2 linked regions of the Coturnix japonica genome follow. The protein of the gene in region 2 binds, or shares a complex with, the protein of the main gene of each other region. Links are inferred from orthologs where the notes say so. Each region holds a gene or a part of one and is shown on either strand. Other genes may lie near its edges.

Region 1 (5,055 bases), on a different chromosome or scaffold from region 2:
TATATTTAAGCCCCAGCAATGCCACAAAGGAAAGGCACAAACTAGCCCTTACACACAGTGATGGATGCTGGAACCCAATGCTCTGTTTAAGATATGAACAAAAGCCGTTCTGCAAGCAGGGCAGATATTGACTTTGATAAACTGCCCATTTCGCTTCTCATCTGTTAACGCTTTTGTTCCCCTCCTGGAGAGTCATTATAGGTACCAAAATAACAGCACTCCACCGAATGTAGAGCTATTCCAAGGCAGCTAATTAAGTAGGGAACAAAAACACTTTTCTCGCTGGCTTTCAACCATCTACTTCAACCAATTCAGCAAAAACACACATAAATTCTGTAGTTACCGCGGAACAGAAAAACAGCCCTTCTCTTCTGAAGCTTCTGGAACGACTTAAAACCTTTGAATAGAACCTCCACAACAAATTATGTAAAAGAAACACTCTATAACGCTGTTAAAACGTTAACACTGCAGGACTGAAGGAGCATCTGATATTAATCGCATAACAGATGTCTCTGCAATCACCTATTCCCTACCCTGGTAACCAAACCTCAGCCCCCCCGGCGTGCGTCCAGCTGGGATAACCGCACGGGAGCGCTTCCCTCCCTCCTCCCCCTTTTAACACGTAGCAGCAGCCGCGCCGCCCCGGCCTCCCTTAGGAATCCTCGGCCCGCAGTGGGTGCCAGCCCCACCGAGCAGCTGCCAGGCCAGGCCGCTCCCCGCCCCCAGCTCAGGGCCTAGGGAGGAGATGGGGCCCTGCTCCCCGCAACCCCCCCAACAAACGGCCCCGGGGATGTCGGCCCCCCCATCAGCTCTCACCTTCCACCACACCGCAGAGGAAGCGGCGGGATCCCAGCGCCGTCTCCGTCTCCGTGTCGGTTTCTTCACCCCCCGGGACGGGCCCCGTGGCGGCTCCCGAGGGTTCCAAGGGAGCTCCGGGCACGGCGGCCGGGTTGGGGCTGCCCTGGGGCTCGTCCAACGCCGCCTGCCCGTCCTTGTGCGCCATCCTGCCGCCCGCCGCCAGGACCGCGCTGTGTCCGGGCCGAGCCCTCCTCCCCGCAGCCCTTTGTCGCCGCCGCCGCTTCCTGTTTACGGGGCCCTGCGCCTGCGCGGCCAACCGGCCCCAACCGGTCCTCAGCGCTCCGCCCGCAGCTCGTTGAGGAACCGAAGCGCCGCCCGCGGGGCCGGGGGAAACCGGGAACGGGCAGACGGAGCGCGGCCCGAAGGCTCAACCCACCGGGAACAACAACGGGCAGAGCGGAGCGAGACACAGCGGGGAACTGGCGGGCTGAGGGGAGAGCCCGCCTACCGCGCATGCGCCGAAGGTGGAAAAGAGCGCAGTGCGCACGCTCAACAGGCGGGCGGGGGGAGGGGCGAGGCCGCGGCAGCACACTGCGCATGCGCGGGCGGCTGGAGCGTGCTTAATGCGCGTGCGCGACAGGCCCCGGGGGAGGGGAGAGGCGGCAGCGGGGCAGCGCGCATGCGCATGGTGGCAGATGGCGCATGCGCAGTGCGCTTTGTGTAGGGAAGCGGCGCGGAAGTCCAGTGTTTACTTCGGGTGTGCGCATGCGCACAGTGACGACCCGCGGACGCGCCGCGGGTACGCGCATGCGCAACGATGGAGCCCCCATCTCCCCCCCAAACACCCAACAAAGGCAGAGGGCGATACCAGCAATGTGCATAGCGATCGTGGATAGATTTTATTGTTTGAGCCCCCTCCCACCCCCCGTCTTTTTTGTTTTATTAACCCATCCTATCGTTATAATACAAAATATACAGACTGGAGATGCCAAGCGGGATGTGGGTCACCATGCCCTGGGGCGGGGGTCACGCCATGCCAATGCATAGTGAGGGAGGGGGGGGGGACGGGAGGGGATGGGGTTGGGGTACTTGGATGGGGTACCTGGATGGGGCACTTGGTTGGGGTATTTGGATGGGGTATTTGGATGGGGTATTTGGATGGGTTATTTGGATGGGGTACTTGCTGTCCCGCCCAGGAGCAGGGCTGTGAGATGAACAGTGTGGTGGACAGAGCTAAAAAACACATCGCCTCTACGCAAGCCAGGCCTGGAGCGGACCCAGCAGGGTCTGCCCCAAAGCTGAGGTTCAGGGCCCTATGGGGGGTCTGACACCAGGGCTCAGCCTGGTGTGGGGCACAGCCTTGCTCGCCCGTTCCCCATCGATCCCAGCCACTGCTACCCCTCAGGACACAGCGGTGGGAGCAGCTGGGCCAATCTGCGGGATAGGACCTGAAGCCGGTGGGGCTAAGCAGGAGTTTGGTGTAGAGACATTAGGCCCCAGACAGGACTTGGAGGGATACGTAGGTGGGACAGGAGTGCACACCCAGCTCCAGGCAGCTGTTGTAACAGACAGGAGTGAGCCCAGCACCCTGAGTGAGCGAGGAGGGGGACACGTCCCCACATCAGGACACAAGAGGAAGCTGAGGTGCCTGCTGCGAGACTCTTAGTTCCTAGAAGTGTTGCTGGAGGGTTTGGGCTGGAGCCGGTGCTGGGGCTGCTGACGGGGACATGATGTGGGGGCACAGGGAAGCCCCTATGGCAGCCCAAGGCTGAGGCTTTCCCTTTAGGATCGGGTGTGTGAAGCCCACCCAGGCCAGATGCCCCGTGCCAGCTGTGCCCACACTCTGGTGGCACTTTTGTGGGGCCTCCCAAGGAAAGTGGGTCTGGCCTTGGGGGAAGGATACATCCAGGAGCCGACTGTGTCTCTGCATGGCAGCCGGCAGCAGGAAGGGCTGGAAGGAGAAGTGGAGAGAGGAGCAGGCTCTGAGCCTGGTGTCAGGAGAGCTCAGCTGGAGACAGCTAAATCACGTTGTCGAAGAGCTGCATGGACCGCATGATGTTCTCATCCTGCAGGGAGGAGGAGTGTTTGGGCACAGAGCAGCACTCTGGGCTGCTCCCCCAAACCTGGTATTACCCCATGGATAATCTCGTCCAGCTGCTCTGACACACAGGACAGGAGCTCCAAGGCTTACAAGGGCCATGCTGGGATGTGCTGTTCCCCACCCACACAGGGATGATGGCATAAACATGGCTCCCAGAGCAGAGCCCCAGCTATGCTGTGCTGAGCCCCATGGCTTTACCTTCTGGCAGGACTCCAGGAACTCCTCGATTGTCACCACACCATCTTTGTTTCGGTCCATTTTCTGTAGACAAGCACAGCATGGAGGGCATTGAAGGAATGGGGACAGCCCAGCACCCCCAGCCCAGGTTCTATGGTAGTCAGATGCAAAGCAGAGAGAGTAGCCATTGCCAAAGCCCTTACAGAGAGCACTTCTGGGCTTGAATCCCACCCTGTCCCAGGCAGGCTGCTCACTGGAGCCCTGATTTGTCCCCAGAACAGTGTTTCCTGCATGCAGGGTCCCCACAGATGCACCCAGCTCACCTGGAAGAAGTTCTCCACGTGCTCCCGGGGTGCTTCCTCCCGCATGGCCGGGTACGTGTACTTGCCCATCATGTCGTAGATAGATTTCATGATGTCCAGCATTTCCTGGAGGGAAGGCAGGGTTGCAATGTGGAGCAGCTCTGCCTCCATCTGGTTCCCATCACACATATGCTGTTCATTATACCCCCAAAGGACCCATGAGATCCTCAAGGAAATGCCCTGAGCCCTGCCCTCATCCCCACTGGGTGCAGACCTGCTTCAGCTTGGACCCCTCTCCCACCTCTTTGGTGATGCAGCCGTCTTTGTTCAGGTCGTAGAGATTGAAGGCCCAGTTCAGGCGGTCATCGATGGTGCCTCGCAGGATGATGGACAGCCCAGATACAAAGTCCTGCAAAGCAGGTGGTCACCTTTTGGAGTGATACCCCCACAGAAACGCCACGAGTCTTTTCCCTCAACCAGAAACTACAAAACTCTTTCTGTTGTTGATGCTTTTGCACTGTTTTTCCTACTAACAAAGTCCTTCAGCAGCTGCCCATGGCAGTCCCAGCCCATGGCACACATGGCAAAGCCTGTCCCACTCCTTGGCTCACCTCAAAGCTGACAGAGCCGTCATGGTCCGTGTCGAAGGCATTGAAAAGGAAGGTGGCATACGTGCTGGAGTCTGGAGGAGGCAAACAGTGAGAGAGAAGGCAGCCCCACATGGGGCACCAGGGGGGGGGACTCACACTCACCTCCTTGTGGGAAGAACTGCGAGTAGATCTGCTTGAAGTTTTCTTCATTAACGATGCCACTTGGGCACTCCTGCCAGGGCAAATGGAGGGGACACACCATTAGCATGGGGAATGGTGTGATGCTTGGGGCTCTCTGCCCTTAAATCCCAGGATTAGGGAACCCCCCCAAAGCTTCAAGGGAAACTGCATCCACACTGCTGCCATTTGTAGCCATTCAGAGTGTGACAACAGGATGCAAAAGCATCCCAAGGGGTGCATAGCTGTGGAGGAGTGAGAGCTACTCACGTTCTTGAAGCCCCGGTACAGGACCTGCAGCTCTTTGCGGGTGAACTTGGTCTGCTCCTGGAGCTGCTCCAGCCCCTCGGGGCGGTGGCAGACGGTGGAGAGCTCAAACTCATCCTCGACACTGTCTGCAAGGAAGTTGGGGGAAGAGAGGGCAGCTGAAGCCATGCTGTCCTGCCCAGCCCCGCAGTGCTGGGGGCAGGAGGTGTGCTTCACACTGCACACCTCCACTCAGGACAGCAGGTGTCTGGGGTGTCCTGCTCAGCTGGAGCCAGGTGTACTCCAGGAGGGAGCACAACCCTACCTGCTCTTCCCTGGCATGATCATCTGCCCCAGAGAGCTGAGATCCTGGATGCCTGAAGGTCTGTGCTGTGCTGGGGTTTGTCTCTAGCAGAAGATCTTCTTGACCCGAATTCCAAACACCCCCTCCAGCCTTGTCTATCCCCCATTCTGCCTGCTGTGCCCCATCTTCAGCTATGGTTTCTCCCCATTCCTACAGCAACCAGGGCCGCCACTACAACCCTGAGAGGCCCTGGATCCCCAGACTCTGACCCCTCATACTCACCTCTTCCCTTGGGGGGGGGATCAGCTTATGCTGATTATTTCCATTTGTGGTCTCCCTAAGGGCAAAGCATAACCCAGG
Region 2 (6,220 bases):
CAAAAACTGAAAATGTACTTACCTTACAGGTGTTATTTCTTTAATGACCTTGTACAATTAAAAAGGAAAAATTCCTTCATAGCCTTTCTGTGGCTCTTATAGCAACTGTCAGAATGATCTGAAGGTTAGTCCCATTGTACTTAAGTCGTTTGTTTGGTCTTTCATAAATCCATTGTATATACTTGTTTTCAAGTGAACAATCAGGCTCTGATTTTTCTCATTTTCAGTAACTGCTAATAGTTAACTTCACATTATAGAAAATAATTTATAGAACATCAGTGTGCAGTAGAAAGGAAAATGCTGTTTACTTTGTACGTTAGTGGATATGCAATTAAAAAGGTTCATGAGTTGCACCTTGCTTTCACACTCTATTCAAACTCAGTAAACTCAAGTGCTTTTGTGCTGAATTTCAGAGATCTTAGATAAGCTATTCCACTGATTATCTCTACAATTTCACTGAGGTTAATACTCTAAGCTAAAATAAGTTGCATTGGTAGCATGGTTCCTTATTGCAAGAGCTTGGCTTTAGCTTGCTAGGTGCTGTTAAGCAGTTATTGTAATTTTTCCTTTCCTAAAGTTATATTTATCTAGTACCTGATTATTTATTACTTGACAGATAAATACATCATGTACAACCAGTAAATAATGAAATACGAGCCCAGCCAATCTTCACGAAGTATTTTGCAATGTGAAAGTAGAAGACAATAATATGAAAGAATCAGAACTGTATGCATTAAGTCAGATTTTGGAGCTAGCTGTCATGTTTCTGTTTGTGTTTCCATTTGTGTTTCCGTCTGTTTGTTTCCGTATGGACCAGTCACAACACATCTGTCATTAAATTTGCCACTTGAAGGCACTGATGAGAAATGAAAATAACTTGACCTCCTGCAGTTGTCTCTAGCTGAGAAAAGCAGCATTCTTCAAAACTGTCTACACTTCTAATAAATCTGCTTGAGGTAAAAACAAAATAGGACTGTAGGCAATAATTAGTTAAGCCCTGAGTGCTAACTCCTGTATGTAGGTTGGACTATATATCTCCCTATTGCCAGATAAGGTCTGATTCTTGGATATCAAAGGCTGGTAGAGAAAAATGTTCTGATAAGCACAGAAAGTGTTTTTGTTGTTGTTTTTTTGTATATTTTTCACTTATTGTTTATATTGGGGTCTCTTTTACAACAATGCATTTTCATAATTAGAAGTAGGATTTTCCTTTAAAATGCATTCAAAATGAGATTACATGTTTATAAATTCCTTCTTTTCTCAAACATTAATGTGCAGCATTATTTTATTTTCTAATCTTGAAGGACAGTGCAGAATTCAGTAAATACATATGTTGGTGGTCACATGGATCTTCAGTAAGTCTCCTATCTCCTTGAGATTAGTTTCCAAGCATGTCATTGAATTCTATCAAGTTTCCTTACGGCTCAAATGTTTGGTCATTTCTAAAGGCTATTTTGATTGAATTTATCCATGGTAAAGGTTACCTTGATTGAATTTATCTATGAGATATTGATAAAGGAATTTCCACAATTCCAGTATCCGCTTTTCTTAGCTAGATGGAAGCCTCTTGAAGCAAACAGGAGGTACCATCTCTTACAAGGGTTTATGCTCTACTTTGAACATAAGTTGTCCATCACTTTCCCAGGGATGAAGGTCAGGCTGACAGGCTTGTAATTTCCTGGGTCAAAATGAATTAAAAATATAGTTTATCCAGAGTCAAAAGTCAGACGCTCAGAGTGTCACTCACTCAGAAACTACCTCTAATTTGTTCTTGGATTTCTTCTATTTGTTCTTGCAACTGTGTTTCTCAGTACGTATTTGATTGTATAGGCAAAGATTGCAAACCCAACTGTAAGAAAGAATACTGCCAGAGCTCCACCTAAGAATCCATGGTTACAACTGGCCTGCTGGAGGGCTGGATGGTTGGCAGGCGCTAATGTAACATTGGGTGCTAAGCTTTGTGCAACTGGTAGTTTTTGTGATCTCTTTCCCATGATAATAGCCACCTTTAAAGGGAGTCATTTCAAGTTCCTTGAATGGCACTACGTTGTCAGGGAATATTAGATGGTAGGGATTCTGCACAGATATAAGGCACTGGATCTTTCTCAATTCAAAATAAAGGCTTGTTTATGTCACAGTGCTGCTGGTGGTGGTACTCTCTTACTAATGTCGTTGCTCATCTCTACCTGCTAGACCAGGCACCTCTGCTGCCAGGACATTCTGCTGAGCTGCAGCCAACAGCCAAATGAGGGAGGCAAAATGGGAGGGGGCTTTGTAAGGGAAGACAGGCTGGGCAGGGCCATCACCTCAGTGCCTCATGCTGTGGTATGACCATGGCTTGCAGCCAACATGGTGGCCTGAACACCTTATACGAAGGTATTAGAGCTCGCCTGTGAAATTCAAGTCTATACTTCATAGGTAAATATTGATAAATACAGGCTGTGCAGTATTCAGTAAGTTCTTTCTGCTGACTTTTCCTTCAGTCCCTCAGAGCAATACTCGGTTCATATCCTCTCAGTCATTTTAAAATGAGAGGGAAGATAAGTTTTGCAATAGAATAAATGAGTGAAACATACCCAGTGCTACATTAACCAGACCTTAAAGCCATTTTTATTATTTTTTTTTAATTCTAAAGCAAGAAGGATATAAACCTGGTCAGAGTAAATCTGTGATCCTTACTCTTGGCATTGTTCTGAGGACTGGAGGAAACGAGATTTTGCAGAATTGCCATTCATCACTTCACGTTCCTGTTTGTGACATACAATAAGCTCACTGTTTTTCAAGGAGAGAAAGTCGGTTATTAAACAGTTTCTATTCAAGAAGAGACTGTAGGGAATATCCACCAGTCTGCTGATCTAATTTTTGTAAGGTATTTTCCAATTTCCATCTCTTTTTCACTGTAAAGTGCAAATCAGATATAGAAAAATTTATTCAACATTATACAGTAGGAGGCTGTGTGTATCTGAAGTTGGTTGTCTGTGCAGTCATGAAAGCTCAGAACAGGCACATTGATTGCTGGGATCAAGCAGATCTGTTATCCATGACTGGCACAATGCTCTGAGGCATAGTAATGAAGCACTGTGTTCTGCTGGTACATACAGTTCTTTCACTCTTTACCGCATTTACGTTATATAAATGAAAAATTCTCTACAAAAGCAGTGTAGTTTAAAAGTTATGTACTCTACATTTTCTGGTTGTGGGAGAAGGGAGTATACAGCTGGGACACAGGACAAAACAAGATGCAAAAGGATGTGTGTAATTAGTAGATAGGGGAGATATGATACTTGGAGCACTAATACAGCCTGTGTTTGAAATCAGGTTTCTAAGTGTCTCTGGGATACCACTGTTCTCTCTGGTAGCCATTTTCCCAAGTCTTTCAAGACATGGCTATTTAAAGGATATAACATCTTTATCCCAAGCCTATGACTGACTTTCTTGGCAGTGTACCTCAGTTTCTCATGATTCTAAGATTTTCCAAGAATTATATCACCGTTTGCTTATTTCACTTCCTTTCTATGGAGTCATCAGTCAAAAAGTTGACCAGGAATAACAAATTTTTGTTATTCATTTTATAGTCTCTAATTGCTGTTGTCTATATGAAGCAGATTCAGCCTCTGTTCCCTTGGTCAACATGTGAATTTCACAGCCATGACCATCCTGTACACCTCTGTGGGCAGGGATCCTATTCTCACTGGACTGCTCAGAACCTGTGCGACCACTGGCTGATGAACCTTTTCCATAGAGTAAACAGCAGATCAGCTGCAGTCCCTTATCAGGGCTTCAGGTGTCAAGAGAGGCCGTATAAGACATTTCTCATCAGAAGGCTGAGTAAAGTGAATTGGGACTGGCATTTCTGATGTGGAATGGAAACAGTGGTGCTGCTCTGTCATGGCTGCATCTTTCCTGGCAAATAGGTCTTCCTGATTCTTGACTTGTGCATGTAGGTCAGTGAGGAAAATATGTCTTGTCATAGAACTAGTTGATATTTTAGTGATATCAGTCACTAAGGAAGCTGAAAAAAAACAACACAATCTTTTGTTTTTGTCTTTTCCCGATTCAGCTTTTTCTGAAGCCTTTTAAGCAAAGTAGTGCCAAGGAGACAAGTTCCCAATAGTCACTCCCCAGAGAGTTAACCTGGGAATTAAAGAAGTGGATTAGTGAAACTGGCTGTTAAGATAGACATTAGAAGTAATGTTTAGGTTTTAGGTGGTTTTTTTTTTGTGTGTGTGTGTGTTTCTTTTTGTGTTTCTTCTCAGAGCACTCTTGAGGAAAGAAAGTCTTGCTGAAAAGTAATGCTTTCAGTAGGCAGTACTACAGTTATTGCCTAAAAACAGTAGATCTGGTCTAACAATTAGGATGAATTACATCTGTAATTACATCTGTACATTTTGACAAAAAAAGATAAACAAACCATTTTTATTTAAATTAAAATTAACACAGCATTTGCATCTGGAACTCTGGCTTGGCACGTAATGTATATATAGCAGTCATATTTGTAATAAATCATACTCGCTTTTGAGACACATAAAAATTTACCTTTATGCTACTGTCAGTATCAAAAGGGGAAAAATTGAGGATCTCACCTTCTGTGCCCTGCGCTTGTCTGCTCGCTGGTTCTGGTGGTAGATACGGCTGAAGTTGGAGACAATGACAGGAACTGGCAGAGCAATCACTAAGACCCCACTCAATGAGCATATTGAACCAAAAATCTTGCCAGCTATTGTCTTCGGCACCATGTCACCATACCTGGGTTGAAGAAAATAAAACCCTTAGCAAAGACAAAATCTTTTCTAAGTACCAAATTTCAAGATAAATTAATTGCACAGTAGATTTTTCTTCTCTTTCATATAACACTTGATGGATATCATATTTTACACATTTTACACATTTGTTATATAGCAAGCCTAGTGCTGGGCTTCCTAAGGTGGAAGCTGCTCAAGTCTTCCCAACTGACTCTATTGTGATGAAGACAGACCTGCCTCTGGAAAAAATTCTTAGGGTCTAAGTCCTTCCTCTGTTTGTTTGATTGAAGAACTCACTGCTTTCCATTGGTGAGATCCAAGGGAGATCACTTGGTAAGTTAGATGTCAAGCTGAATAATCTATATTCTCACTAAGCTGGTATAGAGCTTTCCTTTAGGAAAGCAGTGTATTTTGGAACAGGGAGCCTGGGAGATCATGAACGTTCTATCCTTGGAGATTTTCAAGACTTGGCTGAACAGAAAGACGTCTGACCTAATCTTTTGTTGTTGATAGGACTTCTCTGAGTGAGAGGCTAGAATATCTGACCTCCACAGGTCCCTCCTATAGTTTAAATATTTTTCCACGTAGCCAAAAGCAAACCCCAGAAACTCGAGCCACAAGTGCAAACAACTAAAGAAATTTGAACTGCAAATCCTGGCAGTATTCAGAACTACTACGACTGGAATTTACCACATTTCTTTATGATGCTGGATATTGTTTTTTCCAGCAAGTGTATAATATTTCTTATAGTGTTGCTAAGAAGTATGTAGAGAGATTCCAGTGCCAGCTTATTAAGAGAAATCAGCTATTTGCACTTTGTAGACTGCCATATTCTATAGGACAAGGATGTAAATACAGACTACAGAGTTTAATAAAGAGATACATTACCTGCAAGTACCATTCTGTTTCAACTGAGTTTTAAACTATTAGTAAACATAGACTGTAGCATGTCCTTGTGTGAAGTGACACAGAACGTTTTCTACTGTGGAGTTTACAACAAGAAAAAAGGTAAGAAATAAAACTGCAGGAGGAACAATATTTGGAGAGTGGTATCTGGAAAACAGAAGCAGTTCAGAAGGAAGCTGGAGAAGCAGGAGAAGTTAGGGTGGAGTCTTCAAATTACACGGTCCAAATTGTGCCCATAATCATGAGAAGAGGGGCTGTCTAACCATGGTTAGAGAGCACTTTCTAGCAACAAGAGCTCAGCTTGTGTGTGAAGGAGATCATATATCACCTTGTGGGGGAAGATGAATGACTTGAATTTTCTAAGATAAGACGAAGGTATTTAACTCAAAGATTCAAATAAGGTTCATCCAGGCAGACATAATATAGATGGCCATGTCTTAGTTTATTGACCATGACTATGTTGTGTAAAATAGATGTTTAGCTGCTTTATAAGGCATGCCGAGGTGTAAAACATTCACAGGAAAAATTGTATATTATTATTTGTACTAATAAAATAGTCACCTCAGAATTTC

The links. Proteins that work in one complex are often made in the same cells at the same time.
Region 1: the proteins of KCND2 (region 2) and KCNIP2 are in contact, whole or in part, in a cryo-EM structure (PDB 7UKH), measured with the Homo sapiens proteins. The link is inferred for Coturnix japonica from reciprocal best matches to the Homo sapiens genes KCND2 and KCNIP2. Residues at the interface, in NP_036413.1 of Homo sapiens: Val5, Ala7, Trp8, Leu9, Pro10, Phe11, Ala12, Arg13, Ala14, Ala15, Ile17, Gly18, Trp19, Met20, Pro21, Val22, Ala23, Ser24, Gly25, Pro26, Met27, Pro28, Ala29, Pro30, Trp55, Asp57, Arg61, Arg100; in NP_775283.1 of Homo sapiens: Arg112, Gly113, Phe114, Asn116, Glu117, Cys118, Val123, Phe128, Ile131, Tyr132, Gln134, Phe135, Phe136, Tyr144, Leu148, Phe152, Phe165, Leu169, Ile172, Leu173, Arg180, Trp183, Ala184, Leu187, Tyr188, Met201, Met205, Ile208, Met211, His228.

What each region holds. Positions count from the first base shown.
Region 1 is NC_029521.1:19,822,118-19,827,172, reverse strand, and holds the end of KCNIP2 (Kv channel-interacting protein 2), read right to left. Parts: intron 4,541-5,055; coding exon 4,416-4,540; intron 4,201-4,415; coding exon 4,131-4,200; intron 4,061-4,130; coding exon 3,990-4,060; intron 3,788-3,989; coding exon 3,680-3,787; intron 3,505-3,679; coding exon 3,400-3,504; intron 3,161-3,399; coding exon 3,098-3,160; intron 2,865-3,097; coding exon 2,817-2,864; 3' UTR 1,673-2,816; downstream 1-1,672. Other genes in the region: OGA (protein O-GlcNAcase), read right to left, coding at 817-1,003. UniProt on the Homo sapiens protein: Regulatory subunit of Kv4/D (Shal)-type voltage-gated rapidly inactivating A-type potassium channels. Modulates channel density, inactivation kinetics and rate of recovery from inactivation in a calcium-dependent and isoform-specific manner.
Region 2 is NC_029516.1:21,151,556-21,157,775, forward strand, and holds part of KCND2 (potassium voltage-gated channel subfamily D member 2), read right to left. Parts: intron 4,747-6,220; coding exon 4,584-4,746; intron 1-4,583. UniProt on the Homo sapiens protein: Voltage-gated potassium channel that mediates transmembrane potassium transport in excitable membranes, primarily in the brain. Mediates the major part of the dendritic A-type current I(SA) in brain neurons.